3 linked regions of the Anolis sagrei genome follow. The protein of the gene in region 2 interacts with the protein of the main gene of each other region in a biochemical or structural test. Links are inferred from orthologs where the notes say so. Each region holds a gene or a part of one and is shown on either strand. Other genes may lie near its edges.

What was found.
Region 1: the proteins of ERBB4 (region 2) and SYK form a complex in vitro, tested with the Homo sapiens proteins (2 studies listed by BioGRID and IntAct, with this or other methods). The link is inferred for Anolis sagrei from reciprocal best matches to the Homo sapiens genes ERBB4 and SYK.
Region 3: the proteins of ERBB4 (region 2) and NRG2 form a complex in vitro, tested with the Homo sapiens proteins (2 studies listed by BioGRID). The link is inferred for Anolis sagrei from reciprocal best matches to the Homo sapiens genes ERBB4 and NRG2.

Annotation. Positions count from the first base shown.
Region 1 is NC_090022.1:235,006,308-235,013,445, reverse strand, and holds the start of SYK (tyrosine-protein kinase SYK), read right to left. Parts: upstream 3,012-7,138; 5' UTR 2,911-3,011; intron 1-2,910. UniProt on the Homo sapiens protein: Non-receptor tyrosine kinase which mediates signal transduction downstream of a variety of transmembrane receptors including classical immunoreceptors like the B-cell receptor (BCR).
Region 2 is NC_090021.1:172,652,841-172,660,104, reverse strand, and holds the start of ERBB4 (receptor tyrosine-protein kinase erbB-4), read left to right. Parts: upstream 1-4,264; 5' UTR 4,265-4,789; coding exon 4,790-4,856; intron 4,857-7,264. UniProt on the Homo sapiens protein: Tyrosine-protein kinase that plays an essential role as cell surface receptor for neuregulins and EGF family members and regulates development of the heart, the central nervous system and the mammary gland, gene transcription, cell proliferation, differentiation, migration and apoptosis.
Region 3 is NC_090024.1:137,080,426-137,088,365, forward strand, and holds the start of NRG2 (pro-neuregulin-2, membrane-bound isoform), read left to right. Parts: upstream 1-4,929; 5' UTR 4,930-5,336; coding exon 5,337-5,874; intron 5,875-7,940. UniProt on the Homo sapiens protein: Direct ligand for ERBB3 and ERBB4 tyrosine kinase receptors. Concomitantly recruits ERBB1 and ERBB2 coreceptors, resulting in ligand-stimulated tyrosine phosphorylation and activation of the ERBB receptors.

The DNA.
Region 1 (7,138 bases), on a different chromosome or scaffold from region 2:
AGGCCTCTCGGGTCTGCACCTTCCTCAGTTTTCTGGGGGCTCACAGGGACAACCCCAAGGGTAGAATCATAGATACTACATGGGCCATCCAGTCCAATCTCCTGCTATGCAGGAAAAGCACAATCGATTCAGAGCACCCCCAACAGATGGACAGTCACCACCCAATCCTTCTGCAAGGCCAGAAATACAGCTTGATGGTTTAACATTAGAAAATGTTGACCATTTCCACTACCTTGGCAGCCACCTCTCCACACAAGTCAACATAGACACTGAAATACAACACCACCTGAGCTCTGCAAGTACAGCATGTTTCCAAATGAAGCAGAGAGTGTTTGAGATCCGGGGCATCCGTAGAGATACCAAGGCGCTAACCATGGTGGTCCCCACCTTAGTTACCTCTAGACTGGACTACTGCAATCAGGCAGTAGCCAGGGGGAGGGGGGGGGGGCTTGAGGGGTTTCAGCCCCCCCCCCCCAAATTCTCATGGTGGTTTGCGAAAAGGCCTTACTGGTGCATTATTTAAACTGTTATGTTTATTCATATCATGATCTGATCACCATACTCAATATATCCCATATGCATGGGGGTATTGGGGTAATGATACAAAAGGTTTTCTAGGGTAGACCCTCTTTCACTCAGACTCAGCCCCCCCCCCCGAAACTCAGCCCCCCGAACCCCCCCCTATCCCCCCCCCCAAAAAAACCCGATATCCTGGCTATGGACCAGACAGCCCGGAAACTTCAATTGGTCTAACATTCAGCAGCCAGACTAACTAGGGCGAATTACAGGGAGTGGTCAACCCCTGTGTTTAAGGAGCTCTATAGGCTGCCGTTCATTTTCCAGTCCCAATTCAAGGTGCAGGTTATCACCTATAAAGCCCTAACGGTTTGGGACCTGCCTGCCTTCGTGACCGCATCTCCTTCCACAACCTGCACGTTCCCTCCGATTCTCGAGGGAGGCCCTCCTCTCACCTCTTCCTCTATCACAGCCATGGCTTGGGGGAACGAGGGAGAGAGCCTTCTCCGCTGTGGCCACTCGGCTATGGAACTCAAACTCGATACCTGGTGAGATTAGGTAAGCCCCCACTCTAGCAGCCTTTAAGAAAGATCTAAAGACTTGGCTTTTCCGATGTGCCTTTGGAGAGTGACCATATATTCCAGTCCTGTTGTTTCACCTACACTGTTTCCCTCATATTGCACTTTCCCACACCTTCCCGACCACCATCTCCCAAAGCAATTGCTCTACTCCAAACTCAAGAATGGAAAATGGAATGTTGGACAAGAAAAGAGATTTAAAGATGGGCTCAAAGCCAACCTTAAAAACTCTGGCATAGACACTGAGAACTGGGAAGCCCTGGCCCTTGGGTGCTCCAGCTGGAGGTCAGCTGTGACCAGCAGTGCTGCAGAATTTGAAAAGGTACGAATGGAGGACGAAAGAGAGAAATGTGCCAAGAGGAAGGTGCATCAAGCCAACCCCGACCGGGACCATCTTCAACCTGCAAACCAATGCCCTCACTGCAGTAGAACATACAGGTCAAGAATAGGACTCTACAGTCATTTATGTACCCACCACCATCTATGTACCCACCACTGATCTTGGAAGACAATCTTACTCGGACAACAAGGGATTGCCTAAGTAAGTAACAAATAGACATCCAGCCTCTGTGTAAAAGCCTCCAAAGAAGAATCCTCCACCACAACTCTGGGGCAGAGAGTTCCACTGCTGAACAGCTCTCACAGTTAGGAAGTACTTCCTCATGTTCAGGTGGAATCTCCTTTCCTGTGTGTGGTGGAGACTCCTTCTTTGGAAGCTTTTAAACAGAGGCTGGATGGCCATCTGTCAGGGGTGCTTTGAATGCAATATTCCTGCTTCTAGGCAGGGGGTTGGACTGGATGGTCCATGAGGTCTCTTCCATCTCTATGATTCTGTGATTCTGATACAGAACATATGCCATGATTGGCAATAGGGAAGGAATGGCAGGCAGCGCAAAAAAAGTGGAAATAAATAAATAAGTACAGAGGAAGGAGGCTCACAGACCAGATTTTCGTCCTTATGGCCCACAGGTTAAGAACCACTGCTGTAGTTTGAAGCCATTGTTCTGCATCCTAGTCTCCAGGGAAACAGAAAACAAGCCTGCCCCTCCTCCCTATGACTTCCCCTCACATATTTATACATGGTCCTCATCATGTCTCCTTTCAGACTTGTCTTCTGCAGGCTAAACATACCCAGGTCTTTAAGCTACTCCTCATAGGGCTTGTTCTCCAGAATTTTGATCTTCTGGACACATTCCAGCTTATCGAATTGGACACTGTTTTCCAGATGTCCAGTTAGCTAGACATGATGTACAATGATAGTGAGTGGTAGGTTGGCCTTTTTCACCATTCCCACATTTCCTAGAAAAGGTAAGCTCTAATTCTGTACTCTCATAATCTTTGGATAATTTTCTATTATTTTCTGTTTAGATATGCAATTATTTTGTGGGGGGAAGGTAGAACCTAACAATCTATACAATCTTCACATTTGTGACATCTTCGTGCAAGAATACATGGTGTATGATAACAGATATAAGAGATGAAATATGGTGAAATATTTATTTTTCCATATTATTATAAAAGGTTGCAGGAAGGCATTGTCTGTGCTGTTGATGCTGTTTCTTTTATTTATTTATTTAGAAAAAGAACTGGAAAAGGAATCTGATTCAGTTATTAATTCCTCCTTAACTAAATGCTTATCTTTGTCCTTGTTAATTAGTAGATGTTCGCTAACTGAAATGAATAACATTATATTGATATGTCTGGAATCTCTGTGTCAACTACAGTGAATTCCCAGAGTATCAGGGCATTCCCAGCCACTCCTATGAAAGGGGTGTGTGGAAGAAAATGAAGAGTGGGTTGTGTAAGATCTACATACCTGTCATTTCCATGTTTCTCAATATGTAGAACTCCCATCCAGCAGGTTAGATCGGTTTCTTCCTTTGATGTTGTGTAAGAGTGACTAGAAAAGGAGGAGAGATATACAGGGAAGAAAGTCTTTGGGACACAGAGAGACTGAGAAACCAAATGCATATCTTTATATTTCGCTATGTCTGTAATGTAAATAATTGTTTCCACAGCTTAAAATACTATTCAGGTTTCGGCAATTTAACATTGTACACACAAATCATTCATGTGTAGAATGTATTTCCTATAGGGTTCTTCAAACATTCTTTTCCTTTTCTCTCTCTAATGCACAGATTTCATTGGCAACCCACAAACAGATGTTTCCCGTTACTATACCTAACCCAACCTCGCCCTTTTAGCATGAGCAACTTAGGTGATATACTCTAGTGACCACACAATATTACAGTTTTTGACATTTGAATTTCATCCACCATCACAATCTACTGTCTAAAACAGCCATGGGCAAACTTTTTTGCCTTGGGGATGCATTTTGGGCCCGGCTAGGAGGACCGGGTCAGGAGGGAGGGGCCAGATACATGCTAAATGGGAAGAGCCTGGGAAAGGGCAGGGCCAGAAGGGAGCAGGGCAGTGCCTGGGTCATCTTCAGGTTGTCCTCCCAGGGCTGTTCATCCCATCCTTAGTCTGGGAGACAGATGGAACACCAAATGACCGAAATGATCCTCCTCCTCATCCTCTGTCCTCTTGGCATTGTGCTGGGAAAGAGGGTGGGACAGGCAGTGGCTGAGTGTACTCTGGAAGGCTCTCAGCCACCGTGTGCCTTCCTCAAGATGTCCTCCTGGCATAAGAACACTTGCACTGCTCTTATGTCGGGAGGAGGGTGAGACACACAGTGACTGAGAGCACTCCAGAGGACTCTTAGCTGCTATGTGCCTTCTTCCCCATCTTTTTGGCAGAATGACGCAGTGGACCACCATGTCCTTATGTGAAGAGGACAGGGAAAATGAGGAGGGCCTGATGTAAGCACCCAGGGGGCCACATATGGACCTCGGGCAGTAGTTTGCCCATGCTTGATCTAAAATGTTGCGGTCTTTCCAATGCGACAAGATTAGAACCATTCCTCCACATTCAATGGGGTTAGGGGCATCCCATGAAAGTGAAAAAATACTAATAAAGATTTTTTTTTAAACCTGGGATAGCGCCATTCTACGTTTTTCTAGCTTTTCCAGCATGACTGAAGGAAGTTGACCACAGAGTCACCATGGAGGACCTAGAGGTTTCAAAAGAGAACATTTTTATCAAATTCATGAATAATAAAATACTCAAAACTGCAAACATGGAGGGACTACTGAAATTATAGTCAAGAAGACGTACCCTTTTTTGGGTTGAGTCCTACCATCTCAGAGTATGAAAGAAAACAAATGCATTGATTTTCAGTCTCTTGTAAACCTTCCGCACTAAAGAAACAACATGGCAAGTTGTTTGCACAGGGATGCTCATAAATCGCAAAGGATTATGTAGGTTCTTGGAGTGCTCTTTCACTGTACTGTTAATGCAGTTTGACATCATTTTAACAATCATGGCTCAATGCCATGGAATCATGGAAGTTGCAGTTTTACAAGCCTTTAGCTTTCTCTGCCAAATCGTGTTGGTTCCTTACTAAACATCACCTCCCATGATAATGGCTCTGCCTGGCATTTGCTCTCGGTGTGGCAGATTTTTTTCTATTGGGCCAGGGATAGTCAGGCTCTGACCGAACCCAGCTCCTAAGGCCCCTCATGCCATTGAAGATGTCAGAGGCCATCGTAAAGTCAAATGTTAGTTCTCATGGAAAATATGTCTCAATAATGTAATGTAATGACACATTAATTATTTCAAAATGTTATAATTCACCATGTAAACTGTTCTGAGATAGATGAGCTGATATATGTGCTGTTTTGAGCCATGAGCAGTAAATTAAAATTAAACAATGCACTACCATGGTATACTAAATATATACAGGGGAACTGCCAGCTGGTCCTGCTAAGTGGACCTTCTGGGGGACAAAAAGGGGGGCCCCTTCCCAGACCTTATTTTTTGAGCAGGCAGATAAGGCAGATATCTGACTTACCTGACTTGTGGTGACCCAAAGTGACCCTATTACAGGGCATTTTGGGGCTGAGAATGGGTGACCTACCCGAAGTCACCCAGGGGATTTCTATGGCCAAACAAGAAATCAACCCTTATCTCTGGAGTCACTCAAACTGCTACACTACAATACACTGGCTCTCAAAGGGGTTATTACCTGCAAATATATATTTAATTTTCTTTATTATATCCACACTTTATCCTTTAATAACAGACCGCTTTAATTTTTAAAAAGTTCTCAGTCCGACTGCTACTAAGTTCTGTACATGTTGCTGAAAATGGTTAGGAAGTGTTTCCTGATTCAGAATGCAACTGTTTGATTCCTATTGAAGATAGTCATAGGAAGCAGATACAGTAGAACCACTTTCTTTATTTCTATAAAAAATTTTTTGTCTGAAGCTAAACTGAGATGATACTACTGTGAGCTATACATCTCTGAATGTTTGGCCCCTCTCTAAGTTTTGGAATTCCACATACAGTAGTTCCCACTTATCCAAGAGATTTAGTGGATACCTGAAAAAGTGAATAGTGCTGAACCCCATATATGCTATATTTATTCCAATATATGGATATCTATGATAACATTTAAATTAACAAATAGGCATGGTAACAATAATAACAGCAATAACCTATAATAAAATAGAATAACTAAAATAATATGCTGTAATAAATTTTAGCACTGCAAAATTGTTTATTATTGTAGGTTAATTGGTTGTTGGTTTGATCATTGCTCTTATAGCTGTTATAATGTTGCTGCTATAATGTTATTTTATTCTGTTTTATGTTGTTTTTATATTTTAGTGTGTTATATTTTAACTATGTTTGTTTCGGGCTTGCCCCCATGTAAGCCGCCCTTATTATTATTAAGTAATAGAAACCTTCAGAACATCTTTTTGTGGTGTAATATTTCAGACTGTGATTAACTGCTAGTAACTGATATTGCAGAAGTCAAAAATTGTTACCTCCCAAATAGGCTACTGTAATACACTCTATGTATGGTTGCTTTTAAAGACTGTTCAGAAGCTTCAAGTGGTCCAATGGGTGGCAGCCAGATTTCTCACTGAAGTGGTGTACAGGGAGCATACAACCCCCTTGCTACGTCAGCTCCACTGGCTGCCAGTTTGCTGCTGAGCACAATTCACAGTGTTGACTTTAACCTATAAAGCCCTAAATGTTCTGACCCAGCTTATCTGTCCAAACGTATCTCCCTCTATGAACCATCCTGAGATTAAGATTGTCTGGGGAGGCCCTGCTCTCAGTCCCACCTCCTTCACAGGTGCAATTGGTGGGGACAAGAGACAGGGCTTCTCTGTGTTGGCTCCTCGGCTATGGAACTCCCTCCTCAGCGAAATCAGGTCAGCACCCTCCCTCCCTCAGAAAGCAAGTAAAAACATGGCTCAGGGGCCAAGCCTTTGGCCAATAGTGCAGTGAGATAAGTGAAGATGGAAAATTTGCAATAATCTCGCTGGGGAGCAAATTCCACAAGCAGGGGGTCACCACAGAGAAGGCTCTTGTCCCCACCAGACATGTTTGCGAGGCCGGTGGATCTTAAACTACGAGGCAGAACATAGAGGGAGATATGTTCGGACAAGTAAGCTGGGCCGGAGCCGTATAGGGCTTTATAGGCGAAGACCAGCATTTTAAATTGTGCTCAGAAATGGACCGGCAGCCAGTGGAGTTGACATAGCAGGGGGGTGATGTGCTCCCTGTATGGTGCTCCAGTGAGCAATCTGATTGCCACCCGTTGGACTAGTTGAAATTTCCGAACAGTCTTCAAAGGCAACTTCACGTAGAGTGTGTTGCAGTAAACTATTCGGGATGTAACCAGAGTGTTGACGACCGTGGCCAGATCAGATATAAATACAGTAAATAAATAATAAAATAAATAAACCTGCAGAGGAGACTAATAATAAGACTTTATATTCTGACTATTGTAGCTCTACCAATTCTTTGGGGGAAGACCTTGTCCTAACAGCTTTCACAACGTTTAGTAATAATAAAGTAAGTAAGTAATAATAATGTGCATAGCTAAAAAGCTTAGCATTGTAAAACCTAATTTAAAGATGAACTAATCACATAAATAATTTTATAACCAGACTACATCAATGTAAAGT
Region 2 (7,264 bases):
AGTGGAACTCTCTGCCCTGGAGTATGGTGGAGGGTCCTTATTTGGAAGCTTTTAGACAGAGGCTGAATGGCCATCTGTCAGGGGTGATTTGAATGCAATATTCCTGCTTCTTGGCAGGGGGTTGGACTGGATGGCCCATGAGGTCTCTTCCAACTCTTTGATTCTATGATTCCTTCACAACAGTTTCCATGATGGCTTTCCAATCCACCTTTCATCATGTTCTTCTCTTCCATACAATTTTTTTCAAATTCAATTTTCCCACAACCAAATTCATCATAAAACGTTTAAAAAATCAAACAAGCTGATAAAAAACACAGAAGCTTCCCAAATTAGGTTTATTTGAAGAATGTATGACTATGTACACAAAAATTTGCTCCAGACTAAGTTTTGTGACTGCTGGGAAGTACTACCAAGAGGCTTAGTCCTGCCACATGTGTTACCTCTTCCCATATGTTTTATCCTCTACATCCCACTCTTCCTTGCTCAACAGAGATTTTTCCCCTCTCTTTCAGCCTTCTCTTCTTTCCCAACCCCCACATATTAGACAGTAGAAATCCTCTTTCTTTGTAGAGAGGGAACTATTTGTACACCCTGCAGAACAAAATATAGCAGGCTTGAGGACCTAGAAATTCCTAAAGAGAACATATTAATCCAATCTGCAAATGTTGAGAGCCAACTGTAGTTAATGTTGCCACCTAGAGATCCTCAAGAGAATTGAATCTCCCAAGCCCTCCTCTGTGTATTTGGAACAGACAAGAGGCACCTAATGCCAAAAGATGATAGTGCGGCCTACAATGGTAACAACAGGACTCCTCAGAGTAGAGAGTCTTCTCAAAAGTAGGGTGCCTTGTGGTTTGGTCTAAATGCTTACTGATGGGTTTAGAAGTGTTTTCATTTCCAAAGCTGTGTAGCTCATCTTTCTGTTGAGCCTCATCTCTTCTGGAATCTTGGTCTACATGGATATATCCATGCACAAAAACATAAAGAAAGCTGTGGACAAGTCTACATAGGGACCACCAAATGCAACATTGCCCAAACACAAATCAAGGAACATGAAAGGCACTGCAGACTACCTCAACCAGAGAAGTCAGCCATAGCAGACCAACCTGGACACAGCATTTTATTTGAGAACACAGAAATGCTGGACCACTCTCACAACCACCATGTCAGACTACACAGAGAAGCCATTGAAATCCACAAGCATGTGGACAATTTCAACAGAAAGGAGGAAACCATGAAAATGAACAAAATCTGGCTACCAGTATTTTAAAAACTCAAAAATTACAACAGCACAACAGAGAGGAAACAATCAGGCACATCTAATCACCTCTCAACAAAAGATTTCCCCAGGCACTGCCAGGCCATCAAATGCTAATCAAGGTGGTCAGCTGAAACATTCACACCTAGCTTCAGCAGAGAGCTCTTTGTCCCACCCTGGTCATTCCACAGATATATAAACCCATTTTCCTATTTCCAACAGACCTCACTACCTCTGAGGATGCTTGCCATAGATGCAGGCGAAACGTCAGGAGAGAATGCTTCTAGAACATGGCCATATAGCCCGAAAAAACCTACAACCACCCATAAAGAAAGTAGATGAAAATGACTACTCTGTAATACATGCTGTTTTCTCTTCTTTGCTGAAATAGCAGCTCTTTGTATTTTTATCTGCTTTGGCTGGTGGATCTGCATGATAATCCAGTTCAAAGCAGATATTGTGAGACTTTCTGCCTTGATATTCTGGTTTATATTACTGTGTGGAAGGGCCCTGCGTATTCTGACTTTAAAGATGGGATAAAATGTATATAAAAACAAATAGCCTGGAAGCATGATTCCCAAAGCTGTGGCTTTCCTATTTCTGGGAGAACTCTATCCATTTCTTTGTGGGAAGGGGTGAGAGAGGAAGTATAGGAGGTCCCCAAGTTGCGAACAAAGTACATTCTGTAGGTTTGTTCTTAAGTTCACTTTGTCTGTAAGTTGGAACAGGTACTTTTGTAAGTATAAATATAGCAGAGTACCAGAAGTAAACTTCATAACCAGCAGAAACTTAGATGTGATGAGCTGGGATAAGCTTCTATTCCTTAGAAGGGCTCAGGATTGCAGAGTTAAAAGATATTTATTGAAGTAAAAGAAATACATTCTAGATAGCTTACTAAGTCTCGTGTTCTAAAGAAGTTAAAAGGGTAAAAAGTAAAAAAAAATCCATGCATCTAGATTTTGCCTAAAGAGAGAGGCAAAATGAGCCCTTACTGAAAAAAAGGCAGAAGAGACAATGGTGGAGACCATGTGGTCAACCCAGGGCAATAAAAGGAAGTTCCCTCACAGAATTCCATTCCTACTTATCATAGAATCAAAGAGTTGGAAGAGACCTCATGGGCCATCCAGTCCAACCCCCTGCCAAGAAGCAGGAATATTGCATTCAAATCATCCCTGACAGATGGCCATCCAGCTCACAAAGTTTAAAAGCTTCCAAAGAAGGAGCCTCCACCACACTCTGGGGCAGAGAGTTCCACTGCTGAACGGCTCTCACAGTCAGGAAGTTCTTCCTCATGTTCAGATGGAATCTCCTTTCTTGTAGTTTGAAGCCATTGTTCCATGTCCTAGTTTCCAGGGCAGCAGAAAACAAGCTTGCTCCCTCCTCCCTATGACTTCCCCTCACATATTTATACATGGCTATATCTCCTCTCAGCCTTCTCTTCTTCAGGCTAAACATGCCCAGCTCTTTAAGCCGCTCCTCATAGGGCTTGTTCTCAGACCCTTGATCATTTTAGTCACCCTCCAGCTTGTCAATATCTCTCTTCAATTGTGGTGGCCAGATTTGGACACAATATTCCAGATGTAGTCTAACCAAAGCAGAATAGAGGGGTAGCATTACTTCCCTAGATCTAGACACTATGCTCCTATTGATGCAGGCCAAAATCCCATTGGCTTTTTTTGCCGCCACATCACATTGTTGGCTCATGTTTAACTTGTTGTCCACGAGGACTCCATGATGCAAAAGTCTGAAGGAAGACACCATAAGACTAGGATTCAAGTCCCTGTTCAGACACGGAAGTCTACTGGATGCCCTTGGATAGCTCACAAAGTCCCTGTCTTCCGAAAGCTAAACATGCCCAGCTCTTTAAGCCGCTCCTCATAGGGCTTGTTCTCAGACCCTTGATCATTTTAGTCACCCTCCAGCTTGTCAATATCTCTCTTCAATTGTGGTGCCCAGAATTGGACACAATATTCCAGGTGTGGTCTAACCAAAGCAGAATAGAGGGGTAGCATGACTTCCCTGGACCTAGACACTATGCTCCTATTGATGCAGGCCAAAATCCCATTGGCTTTTTTTGCTGCCAAATCACATTGTTGGCTCATGTTTAACTTGTTGTCCACAAGGACTCCATGATGCAAGAGTCTGAAGGAAGACACCATAAGACTAGGATTCAAGTCCCTGTTCAGACACGGAAGTCTACTGGATGCCCTTGGATAGCTCACAAAGTCCCAGTCTTTTGAAAGCTAAACATGCCCAGCTCTTTAAGCCGCCCCTCATAGGGATTGTTCTCAGACCCTTGATCATTTTAGTCGCCCTCCTCTGGACACATTCCAGTTTGTCGATATCTCTCTTGAATTGTGATGCCTAGAATAGGACACAATATTCCAGGTGTGGTCTAACCAAGGCGGAATAGAGGGAGAGCATGACTTCCCTAGATCTAGACACTATAGTCCTATTTCCTTTCCATCTCGAAAAGGAAAGCGCTGTGGTTCTCCAGAAGTTGGGATCGAAGGCAGCAAATAGCAATCAGCAGAAGGAGGAAGGGATGATGCTCTCGAAAGGGAATGGTAGGTCCTGGAGAGAGGAGTGCGTTTATCTCTCCGAAGGAGAAAGTTGGCGATGGAATATGGTCGAATCCCTGGGAAGGAAGGCGGAGGGAAGCTTGGGTCTGAAGGGACCTGAGCCAGCATCAGGCGCTTGGGTGGATTCCTTCCTTTCGGCTGCTGCTGCATTTCTCCCCCTTCCAAAGGCAATGCATCCCGAACTGATTCCAGTCCACAGATTTCTCCTCAAAATCATTCCAACACCTAAGAAAAAGCCAGCCTTGCAAACGAGCCTCTCCCTCCTCCTCTTCTTCTTCTTCCCTTTCTGGGAACCCGCGCGCCACAGCTCGAGCGCGCGCCCGTGACAGGTGTTTCCCGGGTTGCAAACAGAGAGGAGGGGGAGGAGCGGAGTGGGCGGGGCTTACTCTTTGAAGAAGCCCAGAGGGGCGGGGCTACGGCTGTTGGGTCCCTCCCCCTCCTCAGCTGTGTTGGATTTTGGGGAGGGGAGAGAGCGCGCGCGAGAGAGAAAGAGTGTGTGTGTGTTTGTGAGAGAGAGAAAGAGGGGAACGCGGCTGGTTGATCTGCGCCGCCGCCGCCGCCGGAGTGGTTGGGAGCCCATGGCATTGGCGCTGGGAGGCTTTCCCCGCTCCGTCAGCCGCGGGAGGAGGCAGCAGGGGCAAGCGACGACGCGACAACTCTCCTCAGCTCGGGGGGCCTCTTGGGTGAGAAGTGCGCGAGGCGGAGGCGCGCGCCTCGAACTGCGGCGGCAACTTTGGGGAGTTCTTTCCGGGCGTGGGAAAGAGGGCACCTGGGCGCCTGAGGGGAGCTGCTGCGTCCTCGCGCTGCCGCCCGCTTGGAACATGTAACTGGGGAAGCGCGAGAGGAGGCACGCGCACACATACAATCCAGAGGGAGAGAAAGAGAGGGGTCTTGCTGCTACTGCTCCTTCGCCGTCTCCTTCTTCTTCTTCTTCTTATTCTCTCCGAAGATGAAGCTGTCCCTTCTCCTCCTCGGCTTCCTCGCCGTCGCCGGGACCCTCAGCGCCGCTCAGTCAGGTGCGTCCCATCCGTATAGCGGTTTTCTTCTCTCCTTGGCGTCCCTTTCCCCCCAAAGTTGCCTCCTTCGAGGGCTTTGACCTGCGGCTCGCGCGTGGCCCGGCTTGGTCTCCCCCTCCCCTCCCTTGATTATGTTTCCCCAACTCAGCAAGACTCTCTTTCCAACCCGATGATTGAGATGCTGTACAGCTGTGTCCTTATAAGATCCACCTGGAGCTGGATTGTAAGGCAGTGTAGAATCAGATCCACCCAATATCAAAAGCGGATATTGGGGATTGTCTGCCTTGATATTCTAGGTTATGTGGAAGGTCCCTGAGTGGCTTGGGACTAGGACGTTTGAAGAGCCCCCTCTTCTCATATGAACATTCTCCATCACCTTTGAGGGCAGAATGTATATTGCCATAATGCAATTAGTAGGGGATACTGGCTATACTTTTCTCAGGCTTTTGGGAAGAATATAAACTCATTTGAAAGATGCTGCTGGACAATAAATGGGGATTGTCTGCCTTGATATTCTGGGTTATATGGCGATGTGGAAGGGCCTTGAATGGCTTGGGACTAAGACGTTTGAAGAACCCCCTCTTCTCATATGGACATTATCCATCACTGGGTTGTTGTAGGTTTTTTCGGGATGTATGGCCATGGTCTAGAGGCATTCTCTCCTGACGTTTCGCCTGCACTTTGGCAAGCATCCTCAGAGGTAGTGAGATATTCTCCATCACCTTTGAGGCCAGAATGTATATTGCCACAATGCAATTAGTAGGGATACTGGCTATACTTTTCTCAAGCTTATAAACTCATTTGAAATATGCTGCCGGACAATAAATGGATCTGGGGATTATCTGCCTTGATATTTTGGGTTCTATGGCTGTGTGGAAAGAGGCACCAGAGAGCCCAGTTTAAAGCAAATCTTATGCGTTATCTGCCTTGATATTGGGTTGTTGTAGGTTTTTTGGGCTATATGGTCATGTCCTAGAGGCATTCTTTCCTGACGTTTCGCCTGCATCTATGGCAAGCATCCCCAGAGGTAGTTCTAGTGGCATTCTCTCCTGACGTTTCGCCTGCATCTATGGCAAGCATCCTCACTACCTCTGAGGATGCTTGCCATAGATGCAGGCGAAACGTCAGGAGAGAATGCCTCTTTCCACACAGCCATAGAACCCAAAATATCAAGGCAGATAATCCCCAGATCTATTTATTGTCCAGCAGCATATTTCAAATGAGTTTATATTCTATTGTCGAAGGCTTTCATGGCCGGAATCACTGGGTTGTTGTAGGTTTTTTCGGGCTATATGGCCATCAGAGGTAGTTCTAGAGGCATTCTCTCCTGACGTTTCACCTGCATCTATGGCAAGCATCCTCAGAGGTAGTGAGGATGCTTGCCATAGATGCAGGCGAAACGTCAGGAGAGAATGCCTCTCGAACATGGCCATATAGCCCGAAAAAACCTACAACAACCCAGTGATTCCCACCATGAAAGCCTTCGACAATAGAATATAAACTCATTTGAAATATGCTGCTGGACAATAAATGGATCTGGGGATTATCTGCCTTGATATTTTGGGCTCTATGGCTGTGTGGAAAGGGCCCCAGAGAGCCCAGTTTAAAACAAATATTGTGGGTTATCTGCCTTAATATTATATGGCCCCATGTGCTCAGCCTCCGGCCCTTCCACACAGCCATATAACCCAAAATATCAAGGCAGATAATCCCCAATATCTGCTTTGAACTGTGTGATCTGAGGTCCCTTCCACGCAGTTGTATAAAATTCCAAAATTATCTGCTATGAACCGGGTTATATGGCAGTAGGACTCAGATACTCCAGTACAAAGTAGATATTGTGGGTTTTTCTACCTTGGGCCCTTCCACACAGTCTTGTATCCCAGAATATCAAGGCAGCACATCCCACAATCTCTGCTTTGAGCTGCGTGATCTGAGTCCACAGTCAGATGATGTGGGATTTCCTGTTTTGATATTCTGGGATAGAGGGCTGCGTGGAAAGGCCCTGAGTCCACACTGCCATATATTTCAGTTCAGTATGCATTTCATATAGCTGTGTGGAAGGGGCCTCTGTCTTTCCTCCCTTTCTTTTTTGTGTGCCAAGGATGGCTTGGCACCTGTGGCTTTGGCGGTTGGCGGTGAAGAGCCGCGGGGCTTGGCAGATGGGATCCCTCGGAAGGAAGGTCTTTTACGGGGTGCTGGTGTTGGAAATCTCACGGGGAGGGCCCGATCCAGCTTCTTCCCATTCTCCCCCCTCCCCCAAGACTCCTTTTCCTTTCCCAGCATGGCCGCGGGAGATTTCATACCTTTCCCCAAAATATTTTCAAGAAAGCTGAACTCTGGAGGGAAGATGTTGCCGTCGCGGAATATAAATGGGGAAAGGGGGGGGGGTTACTACCACATTTACT
Region 3 (7,940 bases), on a different chromosome or scaffold from region 2:
ATTAGTATTTCAATGTGAAGTGTGGGCCTGCTTTTGGCTGATGAGATAGGATTGTTGTTGTTGTTGTTGTTGTTGTGTGCTTTCAAGTCATTTCAGACTTAGGTTGACCCTGAGTGAGGGCTGGGTAAATGACCTTGGAGGGTCGTATCTGGCCCCCGGGCCTTAGTTTAAGGACCCCTGGTCTAAAGCATCTTTCTGTTCTGAGAGTCTAACAGAGTCTCTGTACAGTTTGAGAGTCTAATGGTATCTCTGAACCATTCTGTTTCTTCTGACTTCTGTAAAGCATATTGTTTCTAAATTGGAGTCTGAGATCTGAACAGTCCCAGATCCAGTCACATGGTCTGCAGCCCCTCCCACAACATAGAGTTGAGGAAAACTGCATACCAATTCACACATATACAATACAATAAGCATTCTGAATTATATGCTTAATATATTACTAGTGGAAGCTTGAATAAGGATGCTATTTCCAACAAAGACAGCAGCACTTTTAAGACCTCAATAATTGATTTTTTTTCTTAGTATAAGATTTTGGAGATTTAAAAAACACTTCTCAAGATACAGTACCAAGTGGCCACTAATGGATTGCCACTAAGAATTCAAAAGACTGCTTTTGCATCAATTTTTTTCCCAATAAAGGATGTAAAGATACAATATGTCATTTCGCAGACATACTACTATGGTAGTCCAAATGGGATTTGTCGGGGCATGTGGCTTATCTGCCCTTGTTGTGTCCTCTTCCTCCCAACTGGCAGAAGAGAAGATGACATCTTGATTCTGACTTCACCTATAGGCAACAGGTTAGTATACTCCCATCCCATTTAAGGGTGCCAGACTTTTTGGAGACAGAGGACGTGCTTTACAGCACCTGCAGGTCTGTCCCCTAAGAGAGATGTGACTCAGGAAGAAGGGTGACTCAGGAAGAAGAGTAGTGCTGGAAGGCTCTTATCTCTGACCTCCATCACCTATTGCCTTGCCTTTCTATGCCTAAGTACAGTACCAACCTTGAATGACATTCTTGTAATACTACTCTTGCAATAGCTATTGCAAGTGTGACTCACTGTGTGAAGAGGTTTCTTCATCCACAGATTCAAACATCCAAATCTTGAAAATATTACAAAGAAACCCAAAAGGCCAATCTATATATGTGGGGCCGTGGTGGCGCAATGGGTTAAACTGTTGAGCTGTTGAACTTGCTGACCGGAAGGTTGGCAGTTTGAATCTGCAGGGCGGGGTGAGCTCCCACTGTTAGCCCCAGCTCCTGCCAACCTAGCAGTTCGAAAACTTGCAAATGTGAGTAGATCAATAGGTACTGCCTTGGTGGGAAGATAAACAGTGTTCCACGCAGTCATGCCAGCCACATGACCTAGGAGGTATCTATGAACAATGCAGGCTCTTCGGCTTAGAAATGGAGATGAGCACCACCTCCAGAGCTGGAGAGGAAGCCTTTATTTTATTTTATTTTATTTACCATATTTATATACCACCTCTCTCAACCCGAAAGTGACTCGAGGTGGTTTACAGTCGGTAATCAATGCCTCTCACAACATAAAATGTAGTTAAAAACATTAAGATATAATATAGATCATATAAAAAGCAGTAGAACAATGAAAACCATAAAACACAAGTCCTCAGCGTCTCATCACTAAAATCATTTTTCCGTCGCATTGTCCAATCGTTCCGTGGGTCTGTTACACTGCATCTGCAAATCCCTGCAGGTTTTAACTCTCTTTCAAAATGTTCGTAGGGAGGGGGCTGATCTGATATCCCTAGGGAGGGTGTTCTATAGCTGAGGGGCCACTGCTGAGAAGGCCCTGTCTCTCGTCCCCGCCTTTACCTTTATCTGTGAATGTTTGCCTTGTGTCTGTATATGCTGGAATCTGCCCCGGGTCCCCTCAGGGAGATAGGGCAAAATACAAATATAGTGTTATTTATTTATTTATTTGTCATTTTATATAAGGGGTGCTATTTTATGCTGCCATTGCATATAATGAGGCTCGAGCATCCATGGATTTCTGCATCCGTGGGGGTCCTGTTGGAACCAAACCTAAGCAGATACCATGAACCCACTGTGTGCATTTAAAAGTTAACTGGTGCAAAGCAACATGCCAAGCAGCTTGTAGGACATTATTGCACAAAGCCGCTAATGCAATGAACTATCCTGGGAACTTACTGGGATGATCAGATTCATTACTGCATCTACCTGTGACTGTGCAAAAATACCGCTTTGGCACTTCCTCATCCCATGACTGGACTTTATGTTGGGAAGGAAATTCCCAACATGTGTCTTTGGTAAGGGCTTTTTCTTTTCTTTTCTTTTTTGCTTTTTTGTAAATTTCCCCCCACCCCCATTTTAATTTTTTTTTAATTATTATTATTATTATTATTATTATTATTAAAAAATAGTTGATTATTACTGAGAGGGCATGTAAGAAAGGCCCCTTAAGGTCACAGAAGCATTTGGACCTCATTGCATAAGGTAAGTTTAGGGATTGGTGATGCGATCAGGGGCTTTTCATGGATTTTGCCCATCAATAGTTGGGCATGGCTCTGTTTGGGGAGATGACAGACCAGTAACAGGTATCGCTTCTAAGTTGGTTTGCCACCTCCATACAATAAAATCCTGCATCTATTGCAGCTCAGATTCTGAGTGACAGATCTAAAGATCTACATTTTGAGGCTTTTCCAAACAATTGGATTCAGGAATTCTGTGACTCTTCTTTGTTGAAAGAGCTTCATTGGTGACTGGCCCATTTCCAGGCAGATATCAAAGTGCTGGCTTTGACCTTTAAAGCCCTACACAACTTGGCTCCAGAATATTTGAAAAACCATTGCTCCTTATACAAGCCAGCTTGTGTGTTAAGATCTGTGACGGACAGCTTTCTTTCAATGTTCCCAACTTCACAGACATATTTAGTGAAGAATTGAGAGAGAACTGCTTCCAGGCTGCGGAACAGTCTTCCATGAGAGGTCTGGTGTTGCAATCTACCCAGGGTGGCAAGTCAGATGGGCCAGGATTTACAAGAGAAATGTTGATGCAACCCTTGCATATCTATATAAAATAGCTATAAAAATCAAAGATTTGTTGATAATATACCAGCGTTTGCAAGCCTTGCGAAACTACATCTGAATTTCTGCAAGTCCGCTGTAAACCTTGTTGCTAACAGAATTGTGTAAATATCTAGCTGGCATTCTTATGCTGGTCTATGCCCATAATAACAATTTGATCAATTGATAGATGGCATTCAGAAAGGTTTTACTGTTGCCAATTTTTTCATGACTCCAACACTGACTTAACATTTGGGGTCAGGATCCACAGTTCAAGAAGCAGTGGACTAGATCAAGGTTTTCTAAACTGTCCATATATACATACATATATATGTGGGTGTGTGTGTGACCTTGGGTATATAGGTTATGAAATGGGGGTACTGCGTTTTTGAAGGCTTTTATGGTTGTAATCGGTTGCTGTGAGTTTTTCGAGCTGTATGGCCATGTTCCAGTAGCATTCTCTCCTGATATTTCACCTGCATCTGTGGCTGGCATCTTCAGAGGTTCTGTTGATAGTGAGGCAAGTGGAGCATATATATGTCTTTGTAATGTTCAGGGTCTGTTTGAAGCAAGTGTGAGTGTTGCAATTAGCAAGCGTGATTAGCCCGAGTAGCCCTGCAGCTGCAAAGTCAATCAGTGAAGGCATGTGCATAGAGGTAGCTTGGTTGTCGTGCTTGGAGGAATTATTTGGGTTTTGTTAACTGGCACTTGGTTGTTTGCTGTCTGGAATTCCCGTTTCTGAATGGTGTTCTTTATTTACTCTCTTGATTTTATTGGTGTGTGTGTGTGTGGGGGGGGGGGGGAGTTGAAAGAGGAAAACCATTTTCTCCATTGTTGCTGGTTATTCCCTCTCCCCCTTCTCATATCATAAAGGAGAGTTGTTTCCATGATGGGGACATGGGTGGGGGAAATAAAAATAAAAGAAGGAGAAATGGTTGCTACTTGTTCCTTATACAGATTCCTCAGGGGAGAGAGAAACAAGGTGGCTTAGTATGCCCATCCCACCAAGAACTTGCCACAATTTATTATGATCCACACAGTCAAAGGCTTTAGAATAGTCAATGAAGCAGAAATAGATGTTTTTCTGAAACTCCCTGCCTTTCTCCATTATCCAACGGATATTGGCAATTTGGTCTCTCGTTCCTCTGCCTTTTCTGAACCCAGCTTGTACTTCTGGCAACTCTCTCTCCATGTATTGCTGGAGTGCCAGGTTATCAAATGCTAATCAAGGTGGTCAGTTGAGACATTCACACCTAGCTCCAGAAGACAAGAGTCCTTTGTCCCACTCTGGTCATTCCACAGATATATAAACCCACTTTCCTAGTTCCAACAGGCCTCACTATGTCTGAGGATGCTTGCCATAGATGCAGGTGAAATGTCAGGAGAGAATGCCTCTAGAATATGGCCACATAGCCCGAAAAAACCTACAACAACCTATTGCTGGAGTCTTCCTTGCAGGATCTTGAGCATTACCTTAACTGGCATGAGAAATAAGGGCAACTATAGGGAAGTTTGAGCAGTCTTAAGCATTTCTCTTTTTTTTTTTTTTGTATGGGGATATAAGTGGATTTTCCCCCAGTCTGATGGCCATTCTGATGGGAGGCGCAACTGGGAGAGCCCTTCCAGGGGGTGCCTAGCTCCGGGCCATGAAGTAGAGGGAAGCCCAGTGTGAGAGGAGTGTGCTGGGGGTTCCCCCAACAGGGCTTCCAGGGGGCGATCCTTGGCGAGGCTGTCCCTGGAGGAGGAGGAGGGGATTCCCTTTATGGCCCTGCCATTGGGAGGGAAGGAGGGAAGGCTGTCTTCCGCAGCCCCCGCATGGGGAAGCCGTGTGCGCGCGCGGGCGGGGAGAGGGAGCGGGTCCCGGGCTTACGCCGCTTCCGGTTTTGCAGCTGGAGCCTCGTCGGCAGCGGCAGCAGCGGCAGCACCGGCGGTGGCGGGAGCGTCGCCCCCCAAATGGCCTGGCCAGATGCGGCAGGTCTGGTGCTGCCGACTGGCGGAGGAGGGCGAGGAGGCGGCGGCGGCGGCGGAGGGCGAGGGGGGCTCGGCGCTTCAGTGCAGCAGCAGCAGCAGCAGCGGCAGTACCCGCAGCATCCGCATCCGCAGCATCAGCCTCCCCGGGCTCCGCCGCAGCAACAGCTAGAGGAGGAAGGGAGGGGGCGAGGGAGGAGGAGGAGGAGGAGGTGGAGGCGGCGCCAGGCCTGCATCTCCTCCTGCTGCTGCTGCTGCCGGGAGCGCCGGGGCCGGTGGGCGCCTTGGCGGCGGGCGGAGCGGGGCCCGGGGATCTCGGCATGAGGCGCCTGCCCTCCATGCTGCTCCTCCTCCTCGGCGCTTCCCTCGCCTGCTACTCGCCCAGCCCGCGCGCCTTGCAGGACCAGGCGTACTCGGCCGCCGTGGTGCTGGAGGGCAAGGTCCAGGCGCTGCCCCCGCCGCCCCCGCCGCCCCCACCCGTCCTCGGAGGGCCCACCGCCCTGCCCGGCAGCCCCGGCCCCGCCACCCTCGCCCCCGCCAACGGGAGCCGCGACTGGGAGGCCACCTCCTCCGCTTCCTCCGCTCCCTCCACTTCCTCCTCCTCGTCGGCGTCGCCGGGCATCCTGGTGAAGGTGCTGGACCTGTGGCCCCTCAACAGCGGCGGCCTGCAGCGCGAGCAGCTCATCCGCGTGGGCTCCACGCCGGCGCCCTGCTTCCGCGTCAAGCGCAACCACCGCTACATCTTCTTCCTGGAGCCCACCGAGCAGCCGCTCGTCTTCACCACCTCCTTCGCGCCGCTCGACACCAGCGGCAAGAACCTCAAGAAGGACGTCGGGCGCATCCTCTGCGCCGACTGCGGTGAGTCCCGCTCCAGACCCAAAGGCAGGGCCACCGCGCTGGGAAGCGGGCATTGGGCCCTTCAGGTGTTCCGGACTTCAACTCCCACCATTCCTATCAGCCTCAAGCCCCTTCCTTTCCCCCCACAGCCGCGCCAGTTGCTTTGGACTTCAACTTCCACCATTCCTTCCCAAGTCCGTTCATATATCCTGTATACAGCAAGCCTGGGCCAACTTGGGCCCATCCTCCAAGTGTTTTGGACTTCAGCTCCCACCATTCCTCACAGCCTTAGGCCCCTTCCTTTTCTACCTCAGCCGCTCCAGGTGCTTGAGACTTCAACTCCCACCATTCCTATCAGCCTCAAGCCCCTTCCCTTTTTCCCTTTCGGCCGCTCCAGGTGTTTTGGACTTCAACTCCCACCATTCCTCACAGCCCAGGGCCCTTCCTTTCCCCCCTCAGCCGCTCCAGGTGTTTTGGACTTCAGCTCCCACCATTCCTATCAGCTTCAGGCCCCTTCCTCTCCCCCTCAGCCACTCCAAATGTTTTGGACTTCAATTCCCACTATTCCTAACAGCCTCAAACCCCTTCCTTTCCCCCCTCAGCCACTCCAAATGTTTTGGACTTCAACACCCACCATTCCTAACAGACTCAGCCCTTTTCTTTCCACCCCTCAGCCGCTCCAGGTGTTTTGGACCAACTCCCACCATTCCTATCAGCCTCAGACCCCTTCCTTTCCCCCCTCAGCTGCTCCAGGTGTTTTTGGATTTCAACTCCCACCATTCCTATCAGCCTCAGACCCCTTTCTCCCCCCCCCCGTCAGCTGCTCCAGGTGTTTTGGACCAACTCCCACCATTCCTAACAGTCAGACCCCTTCCTTTTTCCCCTCAGCCACTCCAGGTGTTCGGGACTTCAACTCCCACCATTCCTCACAACCCCGGCCTCTTCCTCCCCCCCTCAGCTGCTCCAGGTGTTTTGGACTTCAACTCTCACCACTCCTCACAGTCTCAAACCCCTTCCTTTCCCCCTCAGCCGCTCCAGGTGTTTTGGACTTCAACTCCCACCATTCCTAACAGCCTCAGGCCCTTAAGTGGCTGAGGGGAAAAAGGAAGGGGCCTGAAGCTGCTAGGAATGGTGGGAATTGAAGTCCAAAACATCTGAAGGGAGTGTCCAAGTTTGCCCTGCTGTAAAGACCTCCCCCATCCTTGTTTTGAACTTAGAATCCTAGAGTTGGAAGAGACCTCATGGGCCATCCAGGCCAGCCCCATTCTGCCAAGAAGCAGGAAAATCGCATTCAAAGCACTCCCAAAGCCTCCAAAGAAGGAGCCTCCAACACACTCCAGGGCAGAGAGAGAGTTCCACTGCTGAACAGCTCTCAGCTGAATTACAACTCCCACAATTTGTAAGTCTCAGGCTGAGGTGGAAAAGGAAAGGGCCTGAGGTTTTTGGAATTTTGGGGCTTGAAGTCCAAAATACCCGAAGGGCTCAAGTTTGCCCATGCCTCCTCTAGTGTGATGAATTAGATAGATTTGGAAGAGACCTCATGGGCCATCCAGTCCAACCCCTGCCAAGAAGCAGGAAAATCACATTCAAAGTACCCATGACAGATGGCCATCCAGCCTCTGCTTAAAAGTTTCCAAAGAAAGATCCTCCAACACACTCTGGGACAGAAAGAGAGCTCCACTGTTGAACAGCTCTCAGCTGAACTTCAACTCTCACAATTTCTGACAGACTCAGGTTGAGGGGGAAAAGGAAAGGTCCTGAGGCTGTTAGGAATGGTGGGAGTTGAAGTCCAAAACACCCGAAGGGCCCAAGTTTGCCTATGCCTGCTCTTGTGTGATAAAGTAGATAGAAGGAGCCTCCATCACACTCCGAGGCAGAGAGAGAGTTCCACTGTTGAACAGCTCTCAGCTGAACTTCAGCTCCCACAATTTCTAATAGCCTCAGGCTGAGGTAGAAAAGGAAAGGGCCTGAGGCATTTAGAAATTGTGGGGCTTGAAGTCCAAAACACATGGAGGGTCCAAGTTTGCCCATGCCTGCTGTAAAGACCTCTCCCATCCTTGTTTTGGACTTAGAATCATAGAGTTGGA